Linked DNA regions of Kluyveromyces lactis. The protein of the gene in region 2 binds, or shares a complex with, the protein of the main gene of each other region. Links are inferred from orthologs where the notes say so. Each region holds a gene or a part of one and is shown on either strand. Other genes may lie near its edges.

What was found.
Region 1: COG6 (region 2) and COG2 share a complex: the UniProt entries of both Saccharomyces cerevisiae proteins name them as parts of the conserved oligomeric Golgi (COG or Sec34/Sec35) complex. The link is inferred for Kluyveromyces lactis from reciprocal best matches to the Saccharomyces cerevisiae genes COG6 and COG2.
Region 3: COG6 (region 2) and COG7 share a complex: the UniProt entries of both Saccharomyces cerevisiae proteins name them as parts of the conserved oligomeric Golgi (COG or Sec34/Sec35) complex. The link is inferred for Kluyveromyces lactis from reciprocal best matches to the Saccharomyces cerevisiae genes COG6 and COG7.

The regions. Positions count from the first base shown.
Region 1 is NC_006038.1:973,934-978,703, forward strand, and holds COG2 (Golgi transport complex subunit COG2), read left to right. Parts: upstream 1-2,318; coding exon 2,319-3,032; downstream 3,033-4,770. Other genes in the region: chromatin-binding protein CTF4, read right to left, coding at 1-1,725; FG-nucleoporin NUP57, read left to right, coding at 3,324-4,770. UniProt on the Saccharomyces cerevisiae protein: Acts as a component of the peripheral membrane COG complex that is involved in intra-Golgi protein trafficking.
Region 2 is NC_006042.1:375,455-380,770, reverse strand, and holds COG6 (Golgi transport complex subunit COG6), read left to right. Parts: upstream 1-2,516; coding exon 2,517-4,856; downstream 4,857-5,316. Other genes in the region: XBP1 (Xbp1p), read left to right, coding at 556-2,061; DPH1 (2-(3-amino-3-carboxypropyl)histidine synthase), read right to left, coding at 4,913-5,316. UniProt on the Saccharomyces cerevisiae protein: Acts as a component of the peripheral membrane COG complex that is involved in intra-Golgi protein trafficking.
Region 3 is NC_006037.1:776,163-781,024, reverse strand, and holds COG7 (Golgi transport complex subunit COG7), read right to left. Parts: upstream 2,492-4,862; coding exon 1,739-2,491; downstream 1-1,738. Other genes in the region: calcium-transporting ATPase PMC1, read left to right, coding at 1-1,499; RPN14 (Rpn14p), read right to left, coding at 2,794-4,065; replication factor A subunit protein RFA1, read left to right, coding at 4,518-4,862. UniProt on the Saccharomyces cerevisiae protein: Acts as a component of the peripheral membrane COG complex that is involved in intra-Golgi protein trafficking.

The DNA of each region.
Region 1 (4,770 bases), on a different chromosome or scaffold from region 2:
ATCTCCAGAGGGACTATGTGGCTTGTATTGAATTTGACCCATCTTCGACTGGCCCAATAGTATACCTTCATCGGTCAGTGAACAAAGGTCATATTTGAATAAATCGTCGAAATGATACTCACGGAATCGACTAACATCGAAAAAAGAGACCGTTATAGAATTGCTACCGCCTTCATTTCTTGTTGTCCATACATGACCTAGTTGGTTTATAGTAAGGTATCTTTTATCGCTATTCCCGAAAGGTGTCGCGCCTGTTGAAAATGGTCGGTATTGGAATTGAGCTGGTGGTTGGTAAATTCTGCGATGATTTACATGATTAGCTGTCAAAGAAGGAATTGATTGAACATGAGTTTTTGGTCTCTTATATTGTGCGGCCTCGCCATTATCATCCTCAATAAAATCATCTTCATTCTCGAAATTGTATGTACGCTTAGGTTCATGTTGATCCATTTCTGCATCTGTGAAAAGGTTGTCAGAGTTTATATCTTCACTAACCTCACCTTTGTCATCAGCTTTGTCGTTGTTTTCATATTTCGATCTTCTGTTATTATCATTCTTGGAAGGCTCGTAGAACTCAGGACCGTTGCTTGTTTGTTTAGATAAATCATCTATGTCACTATCGTCAAATAACTTTTCATCATCAGAGCCAACAAAAAGCTTACCACCGGTATTTGAATAAGCAACTGTAGTATTTACTGAAACAATGTCATTGAACGTGATAACATCGCCCGACCAAGTACCTGCTACCAAGCTAAGTTTGGTTCTCTGATCGTTTACTCTCCAAGACAAAGAAGTGATACTATACCTAAAGCTTTCGTGAACAAGCTGTGTACCAGTACTTAAATTCCAAATAAATAGATGAGAATTTTGGTTGGAATTACCGACTGCAGCGATTGTGTTTGAATGAATTTGGTCTATTGTAAGTGCGTCCCAGTTGTTAACGTGCACACTTGGCTTGAACGAGGTCACCAAATCATGATCTGATAATTTAAATAACTTAATGACACTATCTTTTGCTGGAATTGCATATTGGTCTCCTTTATTGGTCCATGCAACTCTAGTGCATGTTCTGTTATCTTCGCATAGCATAGGATCAAGTCCATCTATAGCGACTGAATCGGCGTTTTCAGTATTATTCTCAGTGTCCGCTGGTAGATCATCATTGAAGAATATCTTAGGTAGCTGATCATGCAATGTGTGGATTCTATTGGGTGTAGTAGAACTTAAAGAGTAGAATACAACGTTACCGTTACTGAGTGATACTGCTAGAATGTTATTTTGTTTGTTGTATGATAAACTAACCAGTTGTTCGTCCAAAGTTAATTTAACGTTTGAATTTCCCTCTTCTAATGCAACCAATGTCATTTCTAAATCATCCCCACCTACAACACATACTTTATCATCATGAACTAAGGCCAAATCACGCAATGGTAACGAGGATCTAAAGCATAACTTGTTCTTGTTTTCCAGTACATTGTACCAGTATAGGTCGCCATTGCGGGAAACAACATATAAACCATCAGCTGAATTTTGACTCAAAACAAATGCGCTTGGTTCTTCACAAATATCAATGATATCAGGTTCCTTCTCAAGATCAGTTAAATTAAGAACTTTCACCAATGCGTTCTTATTTAAAGTGAAAAGTCGAGAACTGTCACTACTCAACCGTGCCTGGGTGTTCCCACCAGCAACAAATACCCTATTTTCAGTTAGTTTAATTGCCATTGGATGTTTCTGGGTATGTCTGAAGGAAACTATTCACTAATATACTGAGAACTGAGCTTTTTTCAGTGCATCTTATAGATTTCAAGCAAGTTGTGTCTCATCTTCTACTTGTTAAATCACCAAGACGCGTTTTTTCTGTTAAAAATACACGTTAGCTAAGAAGACAGAAATGAAACACAGAACTAGCACCATCAAGTATTAGTTGACACTGTTATAGTAGTGACAGTGCAGTGCATGCAATTGCCACAAGGTAAGGATGAGGTATTGGACCAAAAGTATCTAAACATTCTTGATTATAGATTTACTTATCTTAAGGAAAATTAGTCACGTGATGCGCAGTAATCATATCACCCTTATTCATCTGTATTGCACCATCAGTTTAGTAAGTGTGTTCCGAAAACTACCCATTCAAACACATGTATCGGTCTTTGCCCTTGTTATATACATGTATTTTTCTAACTATCAATTCTATTCAGCGTTCAAGATATTTAAAGGTACGAATCGATCCTTATATTCGAACGATCATTACCAGAAAAACGGAACAAGAGCGAAAAGAGAGGGAAAGTACTGTGTGAAACTACTCTCACCCAGCGATGACCGACCTAAATGATGATTTGGATCTACCAGTAACTAAAGAACTAAGCAGAGAGTTAGTTTCCAATTTTGTACGGAAGAATGGCTGCTTAGATATAGATAAGCTATTACTTGAGAATAACTTCCAATACGTATCGTTAGACGAACTCTCATATGAAGTATCTGCCTTGAAGCAATCAATGGAACAAACTATACTGGATGAAATCAATGACAATTATCCCGAGTACATGGAAATATGTGACAGGTTTAATACTAGTGACAATAACGAGGTGTTGAATAAGTTAAAACAAGTCTTGAATGATCTACAACAGTTCAACAAGCAATTACTCCAACTTTGTGATTCCTCAGTGGCTGAAACTAGAGAAAAAACAGTAACAGCATTATCCTACCTAAAATCGCTTGATAACCTATTTGGTAAACTGGACGATATCACAAAGCTATCAGAATCGCTAAAGATATGCCAGCAACTTGTATCATCCTTACAGTCTATGGTGCAGCTGAATATCGACGACGAGCTTTCCTTCACAGTGGCAAAGCAGCTCTCTACTATACTAATACGTTGTGACTACAGATTTAGACATTTGGAAGACAATGATTCCACCCTAATTACTCGAATGAGAAACGACTTTAAAAGTATTCTCGAGACCGCAAAGCCTTTAATTAAACCCGTTCTCGAGAAGCAGAACCAGCAAACTCAAACCATAAAAACTTAAATATATGATAAATGCGAACCCAATTCAAATAAAGTGAGATTCCACCCCCTAGGTGGAAGCGAGTCTACGCTATGAGTATCCTTACGTAAATGTGTATAACATCTCTGACTTTGAGCCTCATCTCATCATAATGAACGATCTTGAATTTTTCAGTTCTTCACAACAAAAGCATCAACAAACATCACAACTAACATTAAATCTATAAGAACGAACTGACAATATAGCAGGGCCAGCGTACTAACAGAACACTGTGAATATCGATAAGGTTCAATTTTCTGTCATCAATTAGCCATGTTTGGTGCAGTGAATTCGGGAAATAGTTCAATGAACAATGGCGGCGGTTTATTTGGTAACAAACCTGCTGCTGGAAACACAGGGTTCCAGTTTGGCGGTCAACAACAACAACAACAGCCACAGCAGCAGCCTGGTGGTGCTGGTAGCTTGTTCGGACAGAATAACAACTCGATAGGTAATACATCAAACACTGGAGGAGGTCTGTTCGGAAGTACACAGCAACAGCAGAAACCTTCTACTGGGGGTTTGTTTGGCAACACGAACTCTGCCGCGGGAGGAACAGGCGGGTTGTTCGGCCAATCCAATCAGCAGAATAATACCAATACTGGGTTGTTCGGCAATGCAAACTCTACAGGAATACAGCAGAATAATACTGCCCCAACCAGTGGAGGTTTGTTTGGGTCCAAACCGGCAGGTGGATTGTTTAATAACACACAGCAGTCCACCACTGGTATCCAAGGAAATCCCACTGGAGGTGGATTGTTTGGTAATAATAATGCGAACACAGGAAGTTCGGGTGGACTGTTTGGTAATTCCGGAAATACAAATACCAGCGCTACTTCTGGAGGTCTTTTCGGTGGAAACAGAACTGGGGGCCAATCCACAGGCGGACTTTTTGGCAATAACACTTCTAATAGCGGCACTACTGGAGGACTATTTGGATCCAAGCCTGTTGCGCCAGCTACTACATCTCTCTTTGGCCAAAATCAAACACAATCACAGCAGCAACAGCAACAACAGGGCCAGCAAGGTCAACAACCAGGGGGGGCATCCTTGTTTGGTTCAACGCCATCTACTACAATGCAACCGTCATTTGCATGGTCTAACACACAACAACAAGTACAGCCCCAGCAACAGTTGCCGTCGGTTCAGCAACCACAACAACAGCTACAAATTCAGCAACAACAGCAACAGCAACAAATATCTAATTATCCGCAACAAATCCAAGAACAAATTCTAAAGTGTAAGGAATCATGGGTGCCAAGTGAGCAAAGATCAAAACTTAAGACGTTTGTTTACAATAAATGTACGGAAACTGAAGCTATGTTGTATAATAAACCATTATCAATCTCGCAGGATGATTGGGATCAAGCGCTCATGAGTAAACCTGGTAATAATACTATTCCAATTAGACTACTAGGTTTTCAGGATCTCAATGATCGTAATCAATTACAAAAGCAGCATGTTGCACAGGCTAGAGTTCTTTTGGGCCAAATTTTGGAAAAGCTAAATCAAGTTAACACTAAGCATGATTTAGATACTCAGTCAAGGATAGCAAAAGCTGTTTCCCGTAACACCGTCATTGAAAATAGAATTCTCAAATTGGCTTCTCAGCTAGCCATATTGAAAAGCAAGAATTTACCATTGAGCCTACACGAAGAGGAGATGATGAACAAGTTTAATAAACTATTACAAGAGAGCAATGATCCAGCAGGTCTAGGGA
Region 2 (5,316 bases):
GCTTCGTGACTAAACCATTGCAAACGTAGGAAGTACAGACGAGAAAAATACTCCGCAAGGCCGCACCTATCCAATTACGGGACGTATTCTTTTTCAGGCAAATACGCAGGAAAATTTTTTTTTAAGAAAAAGCCGTTCCACAATCTCGAGATTTTCTACCGATCCCTATAGTTGTGAAGTGCAACCTTTTTTTTGTCGGTATTTCGTGATACCATTCGGCATCTGAAGGAAAACAGATATTCAATATTGACCATCCCCCTAATTTTCACATTGAGTGTCTTGGATCCTTATTTTCATATTGAATTTTTTTTGTCTCATCTCAAAATCATTACCACTTCAGACAGCTATTATATTTCTGGAGAGTGTTATTGACAGTGAATAAAGGACTATCAAATATAAAAAAAAAGACACGACAACTGACTGCAATTTGACCTTGTCAGATTAATTTTTGGTTTCTGCGATTCTTTAGTGTTCTGACCACAACCTAATTATATTTTGTTTCTAGCTTGCCCTGGGTGCGATTGATATAATCAACTTTCGATAGACAATTGCACCATGCCATCTGTTGTTGGGAATGATCAATATGGGGTATACCCAACCGATGGAACTACATTTCAGTTGTCTCCAGATCCGTTGGATGATTACCAAAGATATCTATTTGTAGAAGTGTATGAACTAATGCGACCCAGTTTGGCGCAATTTCCCCATGCTTTGAAGTCACAGTTATCTATCGACCGGAAGGAATACAAGACAAATACAGTTTTTGAATCATTCGAATCGCAATCCAGTGGTGATATAAATGAGGAAGGATCTCATACCTTGGGCCAAGAGAATAATGGAAAATATACCAACGAAAGGCGACAGAATCATCGTAATAAGTCGGGCAGCCTGGGAAAGTTGAAAAAATCTACCAGTTTAATTTGTAACGAATATATCATTCCGGATATATCAAGAAACCCGGTGACACAACGGACTTTTGACCCTCATTTTCAGCCGTATTTGCAATTAACTCCATACAACATTCTTTCATTAGAAGACGAACAAGAAGACACTGATCCAAACCAACCATGTTTTCCTGATGATTTATCTTCTTCTGACCGTGAGTTGAGGACTGCTATAAACCTGTCCAATAAACCAGGTTCTAACATTACAAAAAATCAAGAATTTAGAATGATTAAATTGAACGCCAAGATTAACCAAACACTGATCATAAATCCAAACAATTGCATAATTTGGAATTGTGAAACGGGGTATGTGTTTTTCACTGGTATTTGGAGATTGTACCAAGATATCATGAAATGCTTATGCACCACGAATAGACAATATCAACAAGACCAATCTGCCCGCATCCATTGTTGTAAAGAATTGCAGAAAGTCTTGTTCCAAGTCATATACGGTAAACTGGACAAACCAAGTAAAAAAGACTCCCAACAAAAATGGAACAAATGGTTTCAAAGAGAATCCTTCTCAACTTATATCGATTTGCATTGGCATAAGTTGAACCCTACATTATCAACGCTATTGGGTCAATCCTATGATGCAAAAATTCCCTTTGAACGTATGGTGAAGAGAATTAGAGGAGGATATATCAAGATTCAAGGGACTTGGTTGCCATATCCTGTTTCTAAAGAGTTGTGTTCGAGATTTTGCTACCCCTTGAGATATCTACTAGTCCCATTGTTTGGTCCCGATTTTCCTGAGAAATGTGAATACTGGTATTCACAAAGAACAGAAATTTCGCCGTCCCTCACTGCTTCAATCTCTCCAAAGTCAACAAATTCCATCTCAACTCTCACTAGCGATGAAAGAGATAGCTTGAATACTGCTCAAGATCTTCTAAATATTTCTCGCAGATCTTCCTGGAATGAATATAGACACCCGTCGATTGTTCCTCAAATCCATCTGCAAAATCGTCACTATCGTTCGCAATCATGGACCGGAATAGTTCAGCAGAATCCAGCTGCTGAAGAAAGAAGAAAATCTTCTGATGTCACTTTACCGCCAATACAGTATTTGTTTGATGATATAAGAAACTCATACTTAGATGACCCAAAAAGATAATATTCAAATCAAGAATATCATGAACGAAAAACGGCGCACGCATTGTTTTCAACAAGGCTGACCTTATCGTGACAGTGGCCTTTTCAACTTAAATTACTTTATTCTATTCTTTGTTAGAACCAGGTTCTGATATTGAAGAATACCTCACTTTTTTTCATTCATACTATAGATGCTTATTGTCCCTTATTTTAATTAGGTACGTAGTCTCCACTGGTGGTAGATTCAAACAATAATAATCTTTACTTTGTTTATGTTTTGAATTGTACAATACTCAATTACACACATACCATATATAAACCGATTCAATAAATACGAAAAACCTAAATCTTTCATTTTTCGAAATAGAAAGTCATACAAATTGTATTAAAGAGACATTAAACTACTCGCGAAATCAGGATTCTGACATACTAACTAATCATTGCACTCAATTATAAATAGCAGATCTCATATCTGTAATGGACTTTCTAGATTTTCCGGCACTGGTAGTGGACGAGTCTGCTGCATTACCTCAACCAGCGTCACGTCTTTCGTTGGCAAGCTTGAGATTGAATGACGATGAACAAGAGGCCAAATTCGTTCTACCGAATGTCAGCAAGCATGACACCGAGTTTACCGATCTTCACAGCAAGATGAAACATTTTGCCAGCATTTCCCTCGGTGAAATACGCCCTGCGTCCGTCTCTTTATCGAAGGAGGTCGCAGCTCCTATATCAAATAACATCGAGAAACCTACAACTACAAACCAACTTTTATCCAAGAAGATTAACAGCTTATTGAATGTTCCCAATTATGCGAGTTACACATCTGATTCAGAAACAAAACGAGCTCTTCAAATCCTTGATGCAAATCACTCTGATTTGGGACTTAACTTCAACCAACTGGTTGCCTCTGATTTCGTTGGAACTTTAAACAGAAAATCACTTCGCTCAAAGCTTGAGAATTCAATGCTCAACTCCCATTCGGATATTTTGAGTAACTTTCAGTCTATTGCAAGAAGAATCAAAAGACTTTCTGGACCCTTGGAAAGAATTAACAATGCTATGCAGAATTTTAAAGATACAACGGAATCCATAGATTTTGAATTCGAACATGTCAAAGATAGACTTGATCAATTGAAGGCAAGACGTCAGGTAATAATTAAATTAAGGGATTCCTTGACTTTAACGCAATTAGAACTGGATCATTTACAGAATGGAACAATTAATGACCTCTTCTTTCAGATTCTGAATAAAATCAACTTTATCAAAGAAAAAGCAACATATCTACTCTCCAATGAGAAGACCACATCTGCTGGCGTGGCACTATTAAAAACGATGAATAATAATTTAACGGTATCGAACAAACGGATATATAATTATCTCATAAACTTCATTGAAGAATATGATACTTTATCAAGGCAGTACGGCGAACGTACTATTGGCGATGAATCTCTCTCTAACTTCCAAACGAGCTTGATTCATTTATCAAATGACGTTCAATTCTTTCAAGATTTCTTGAACAGAATTGTGGGGTTAAGGTCTAAAAGGTTATTAGACGACTTTTTGTCTCAATTTGATATAGATAATAAAAAGTTACAAAGACCTATTATACTATCGGCCCATGACCCTGTCAGATATCTTGGTGATGTCCTAGCTTACGTGCACTCCATGATTGTTAACGAACTAGAATTTTTGAAATCAACTTTCAAGCTAAAGTCAGAATTAGTAACGTCCGACTCAGTTTTGAAAGATAATATGGATTTCATTGGTGACTTGCACCTGAAGCTTCTCAACGAAATATTTACCTCATTGGCGAATACAATCAGAATAAGGTTAGAACAAATTGTCCGATTTGAAAATAACCCGATGCTAAATCTAGACATCGTTCAGTGTTTGAGTTTATACCAAATGATGCTCGTAAAAAATGGTATCAATGAATCCAGTCAATTAATGACTAGTCTCAATGATCTGGAAAATCTCGCAAGATCCAAAATTGTTTCAAGTGTTACATCATATCTCAAGGACTTGGATAAAAATCAAATTGCGGCTGCCGATCTACTTCCACCAGACTGGTTTGTAGATTATTTGTCCAAACTTTCTCAACTTTTGAACAAATTGGAGCAGCAAAACGAAACAAGAATATTAACAGATGATTTGTATGATAAGCTGATTTTAGACCCCATTAATAATAACTTAGTATTGAATTTGCAGAATTGGTTCCCCACAGCTAAAAAGGAAAAGTCAGCCAGAATTGATTTACTTATCGTACAGATTAATAGTTTTGATCTCGTGAAATCAAAACTAGGTCCCTTTCACAGCACCATTTTTTCATCTGATTACGGCAAAAGCGTCTTTTCGAAACTGGAAACGCAGTATACATTATGCGTTACCAAGTTAAAGGAAACAATGAATAGCTATCTGTTCGAATCAACGGGTATGGAATTGTACTTTAATCTCTTCAACATGATTTTCCCAATTATTTCTGTGCAAGATGAGCTTGATTACGACATGTATCTTTCGGCGGTTGAGAACCCAATCATGAAATTAGCAGTTATTCACGACAATATCCACGAAAAATTGAACACCTATCTTCCATTAGCAGTTTCTGATTTTCAAGATGTAAAATTATTCAATTTGATGCCACCAGCGGTTGAAGAGGACATTGTGTCCACCTGTTTCGGAAATTTTATCAAATTCTATAAAGTGTTCAAAAGCGTTTTGAACAAAATATATCCGGAAGACGAAGAAATGATAATGTCGACATTAAACTTTACGACTAACGAAGTTTCCACCCTACTAGGTGTTGAAGATAAATAATTAAATAAACAAATGTGATGTCCCAGATTGTAATTCGATATAATTAATGCATTTACTTAGATAGTTACGTCGTCATGGTTTGGGACCTTACCTCTACCATATCCGTTAATATGATAATAATCCATCGGGTAATATTTCTCATTGAACATCCGGTCGTTTTCAAGCATCACGTTAGTTTCGTACGGTGTTAGTAATGGTTTATTGAAAGCATACCCCCAATCAATGGACAACCTTGGGCAGGCAACTTGAACAAAGGCATCGATATCATCAAACATTGCAAGCTTTTGTGGGAAAATCTCGCTGAGAATAATCTTTACTACAGTCCTTCCGGAAGCCTTGAGCTTAGTTTCGAGATTTTCAACTGTTGCTAGATTACCTTGTCTACCTAACGCGCCAAGTATCAAACCAACTTTCTTCGAACTGCGAGCTTTATCAATGGCAGATGCTCTTACCTCTACCA
Region 3 (4,862 bases), on a different chromosome or scaffold from region 2:
TTCGTATGGTCACTGGTGACAATATTTTAACTGCAAGAGCCATCTCAAGAAACTGTAATATTCTTTCCGAAGAGGGTTACAACGATCCAGAATGTGCAATGGAAGGACCGACATTTAGAAAGCTACCATATAAAAAAATGTTGCGTGTGATTCCAAAACTTAGAGTGCTTGCAAGATCTTCCCCTGAGGATAAACGAATTTTGGTTGAAACTTTGAAAAAAATGGGCGAAGTTGTTGCTGTTACTGGTGATGGTACAAACGATGCCCCTGCTCTAAAGTTGGCCGATGTCGGATTTTCAATGGGTATATCTGGTACAGAAGTGGCCAGAGAAGCATCTGATATTATCTTAATGACAGATGATTTCACCGCTATTGTTAATGCAATTAAGTGGGGTAGATGTGTTTCTGTGTCCATAAAGAAGTTCATCCAATTCCAGCTTACCGTTAACATTACAGCAGTTATCTTAACATTTGTTTCTGCTGTCGCCTCGGCAGAAGAAACTTCTGTGTTGACTGCAGTTCAGTTGTTGTGGGTCAATTTGATTATGGACACTTTGGCTGCCTTAGCTCTTGCAACGGATAAGCCTGACGAGTTTATCTTAGATAGAAAGCCAAAGGGCAGAGATGCTCCCTTAATTGCTGTATCGACATGGAAAATGATTCTGGGTCAAGCTGCTCTACAGCTTACTGTGACATTTGTACTACATTTCCGTGGTAAAGAAATATTCTTCCCAAATAAGAGAACAATCACTGCACATGAACAGGAACAGCTTAACGCAATGACTTTTAACACTTTTGTCTGGTTACAATTTTTCAAGTTGATTGTCACAAGAAAACTTGATGAAGCTGATGGTATCTCAAAGTTCAAGGACAGGTTAACAGCAAACAACTTGAACTTTTTCCAGCATTTGTTCAGAAATTACTACTTCATCTGTATTGCCTTGTTGATCGGAGGGTTCCAGATCTTAATCATGTTTGTTGGTGGTGCCGCCTTTTCTATTGCTAGACAAACTCCTGCTATGTGGGCAACAGCTATAATTTGCGGTCTTATATCACTTCCCGTTGGTCTGTTCATTAGAGCTTGCCCAGATGAATGGGCCTTAGCAATCTTCCCAAGAAGGTTAGTACGTGCAATCTTGTATGTCTTTGGGCTGGAGTTCATCTTCAAAAGAAATAAAAACAAAAAGCAGCATGATGAGGACGAGGAAGCATCACTTTTGGTTGAATATGCCAATGACTCTAGCTTAGTGGAATCTACGGCTTTTCAGCGGGCCAAATCTGATATGATCAGCCATAAGGTGCATCCACCTACTTCGGAGCCCTCTAAATACAATCCTATCACAGCAATCAACAGATGGAGAAGCTCAAGTGGTGATGAAAATGAATCAGAAGAAGAACATTCATTCATCGCCTCAGTGACTATGGTACCCACTTTAGTTGGTGGTGCTGTTGGTGGTTTTTCTCATATTACGGGACCTAATGAAAATAAGAAACAATAATTCTGCTGAGACCTGAATTATTGCGTAAAGATACGTTTCAAAGGGCTATAATATAATGGCATAACGCTGAATCAGTTTTCGGCTAAGTATTACATCTATTACATACTATATGTGTATCCTTTAAAGACATCGTATTTTCATTCTGAAGATGAGTATTGCTTTGCTTTTGATGTAATGAATTATTCAATCGTTCAACGATCACAATTATATAGAACAACTTTCGCGGTCACATATAAAAATCATAACTCATCTAGTGTATCCTTACTATTTAGATAATTATCCTTCTCCTTCTGAATAGCTTGTGCAAATTCTGTGTATGGGATATAGAACTTTTGAAGTCCCTTCAAAACAGTTTTCAACTCGATAAATGCGTCTATCTTCTTCAACAAATCGGTTGCATCGTTCTGAGGTTTCTTTAATGTAATGATAATGGTCTCCTGTAACGTCAATAATGCAAGTTTAAAGTCATCTAACGAAATATGCTGTAGTTTTTCTTGATCATCTTGGATTGAAATATCCATTATGGTCTTTAATAGATCAAATGATCTCTTAACAGTTACCAGATGCTCTTTAGCTGCTGTAAGCTTTGATAAGGTTTCAGTTACCTCATTACTGTCTTCATATTTAGAATTCAGCTCTTCTAATTGTTTATCAATAGCTTTAACGTCTGTCTCTAATAAGTTCACACTATTCGCTAGAGTATCCAAATAATACTCTAGTTTTGTTGTTCCTTGCTGTTCCTCATTTGCTGCGTATATAATAAGTTCAGCAGGCTTCTGAAGCACCTGAATAGTGGACTCAAGTTCTTTTGTAATATGCCCACTGTAATAGTCCATTTTTGAAAGTAGACTAGAGCAATTGGTCTTCAATTCTTCTAATTGGCTTGTCTGGAAAGATGATAACAATATGTCGACGAATGCTTGAGGTACAAAATCATCATCGAAAAACATGTCTAGCAAAGGGTCATTAGCACCAGATATCCTTCTACTCATCGTGTAGGAAATTATAGTGCTATATCGTCCTTCAAAGGTGATTTGGTGGCTTACTTGGGTGTTTCATGATCATCATATTTAGAGGTAGAAGGTTAACTTCTTCATTTTGATGTTAAGATTTCAAGATGATTTTTGGTGCCTTCAGATGCACAGTAAGAAAGGTTTAAAAGAGAAGGATACAATATCAAAGCAGATATTACTATACACATTGATGAGAGCAACGTATGGATAATTTATTGGACTATATATGGGTATAATTCTATTTACAATTCTATTGCTTCTCTTTTAGACTGGACGACAAATCAGTATTTCAATAGCATACCATTTTTTCCGACGCACCAAACATTTTGATGTGATTCATCAACACAGAAATCAGTCACTTCATCATAAGGACGAATTAGATGTGTAAGCTTATTGAAATTGAATTTCCCGTCCAAAACAGGTACATTGAAAGCAAATTGGACCCCACTAGAAACGTTCAACGTGTTATGTGCCAAGAATAATCTTGAGATAGAATCATTATCATTTACCTGGAGCGTCTCCACCGGTTTGGAAACGTTACGAGTATCCCATGATACTATCGTACCATCCGAATAGCCAGCAAATAGGTAATGGTCATCACCTGCAATGTGCTGGCTCGTTAGAGTGACACATGCAGATTTACTTGCCGGTAAAATATCCAATATCTTCTTTCTGTTATAGATATCATGAAACGTGATGATACCAGAGTCGTGTCCAGCAAATACAGCTTTCCCCTCAGTATTGTATTCGTTGCTATGGTCCAATGCATTGTACGATGTGGTCGCTGGATTTCCCTGGTAATTGGCCAATGAAATACAATTTATGCCATCGTTTGAATTGAGCGTAAAGACACATGCTGAAGTTGAGCATTCCCATAGTTTTAATGATCCATCCGAACTTGCAGAGACGAAGTTTCTACCTCTATCGACCATGGCAAAATCGTTGACTGACCGAGTATGACCTATGAAAGTTCTGAGCTCAGTACCGGTTGAAGCATCCCAAATCTTCAAGCGCATATCGATACTACTGCTTAAGAATCCATGGCCGTTAGGGAAAAATTGGGTCTTGGTGATGTGACTAGCGTGCGCTTCCGGTAACTTTATCACTTCTTGTAATGGACCGCTATAATTGGTACCGGTGTTCTTCCGTAGCACATATATGCCACCATTCGTATCACCACAAACCAAACGTATCTCGGGGTCAAACACGTTCGTGATATCTATACTTGTTAAATCAACAGCTCCAATATCAGAAGGCAGTTGGAACCGTTTTTTCGGACTTTGAAACGAAGCTAAATGTCCTGCTGTCGCATCAGGTCCTGTCAATTCATATAAATGTGGCCTTACCCTTTGAAAGGAAATTTTATCAGAAGTATTCGCATTATGAAACCCAACATTACCCCTGGAATCTAACCGTACATCAAATTCCAAATCGTATAATGGCTCACCACTGCTCCTGGATACCCATATCTTATCGCTGGCAACCTTTTCTCCTCTCACATCATCAAGAATATCATCAAACTCACTGCAAATGTTCCATTCCTCAACTCTCATTATATTTAACTAAGGGAAAATAACAGGAAGGTATACAGTAAAACGGGCAAATTGTTTGGACAGTTGATATCCACAGGAAACCTGCTGACATTATTGCTCAAAATCCATAAATCAGAAATCCACTGCTGGTGTTTAAGTTGTTCATCATCAATGAAGGTAATACGTACCTGATGCTCAAAAAACCCAAAGTCACGTGAATAACCACCTGAAAGATAGTCATGTGATACTCACGTGTAAGACGCGTAAACGCGAAAGCAATTTCCTCGATTTTATCCCTTTTATTTTGGTTCAACGAAAAATTTTCGAATTTCCGCAGAGTATATAAAGGCGAACTGTAAATAAACAACGCCATCTCAGGGTCAGTTATAGATTAGCTACAGGTGAAACCCAGGCCAAGTCGAGTCAAGTAACGGATTTGTTCTGCTATTTGTCTTTAAAATAGGTAGAAGAAGATGGGTGTTCAACTATTGGAAGGTGATTTATTGGATATTTTCCGTATTCCGGAGAGGTACAACAATCCTACCGGCGGTATTTACCAGGTTGTTCAAACCAAGAAGACTGAGACTAATGCTAAAAAGAATTTGATTCTCATCAACGATGGAAAATACCATGTCAAGGCTCTTTTGAGGAACAAAGCTGCAGAGGCGGCTCAACAGGCAGAATTAGAAAGAGGGGATGTTTTCAAAGTGTTGAACGCGGAATGCGCAGTGATCAAAGAGAAGAAGAAGTTTGTGTTGTTAGTAGATGAGATAGAGATTGTTAGCCGTGGGTTAGATTTGTTTAATAATGCTACAGAA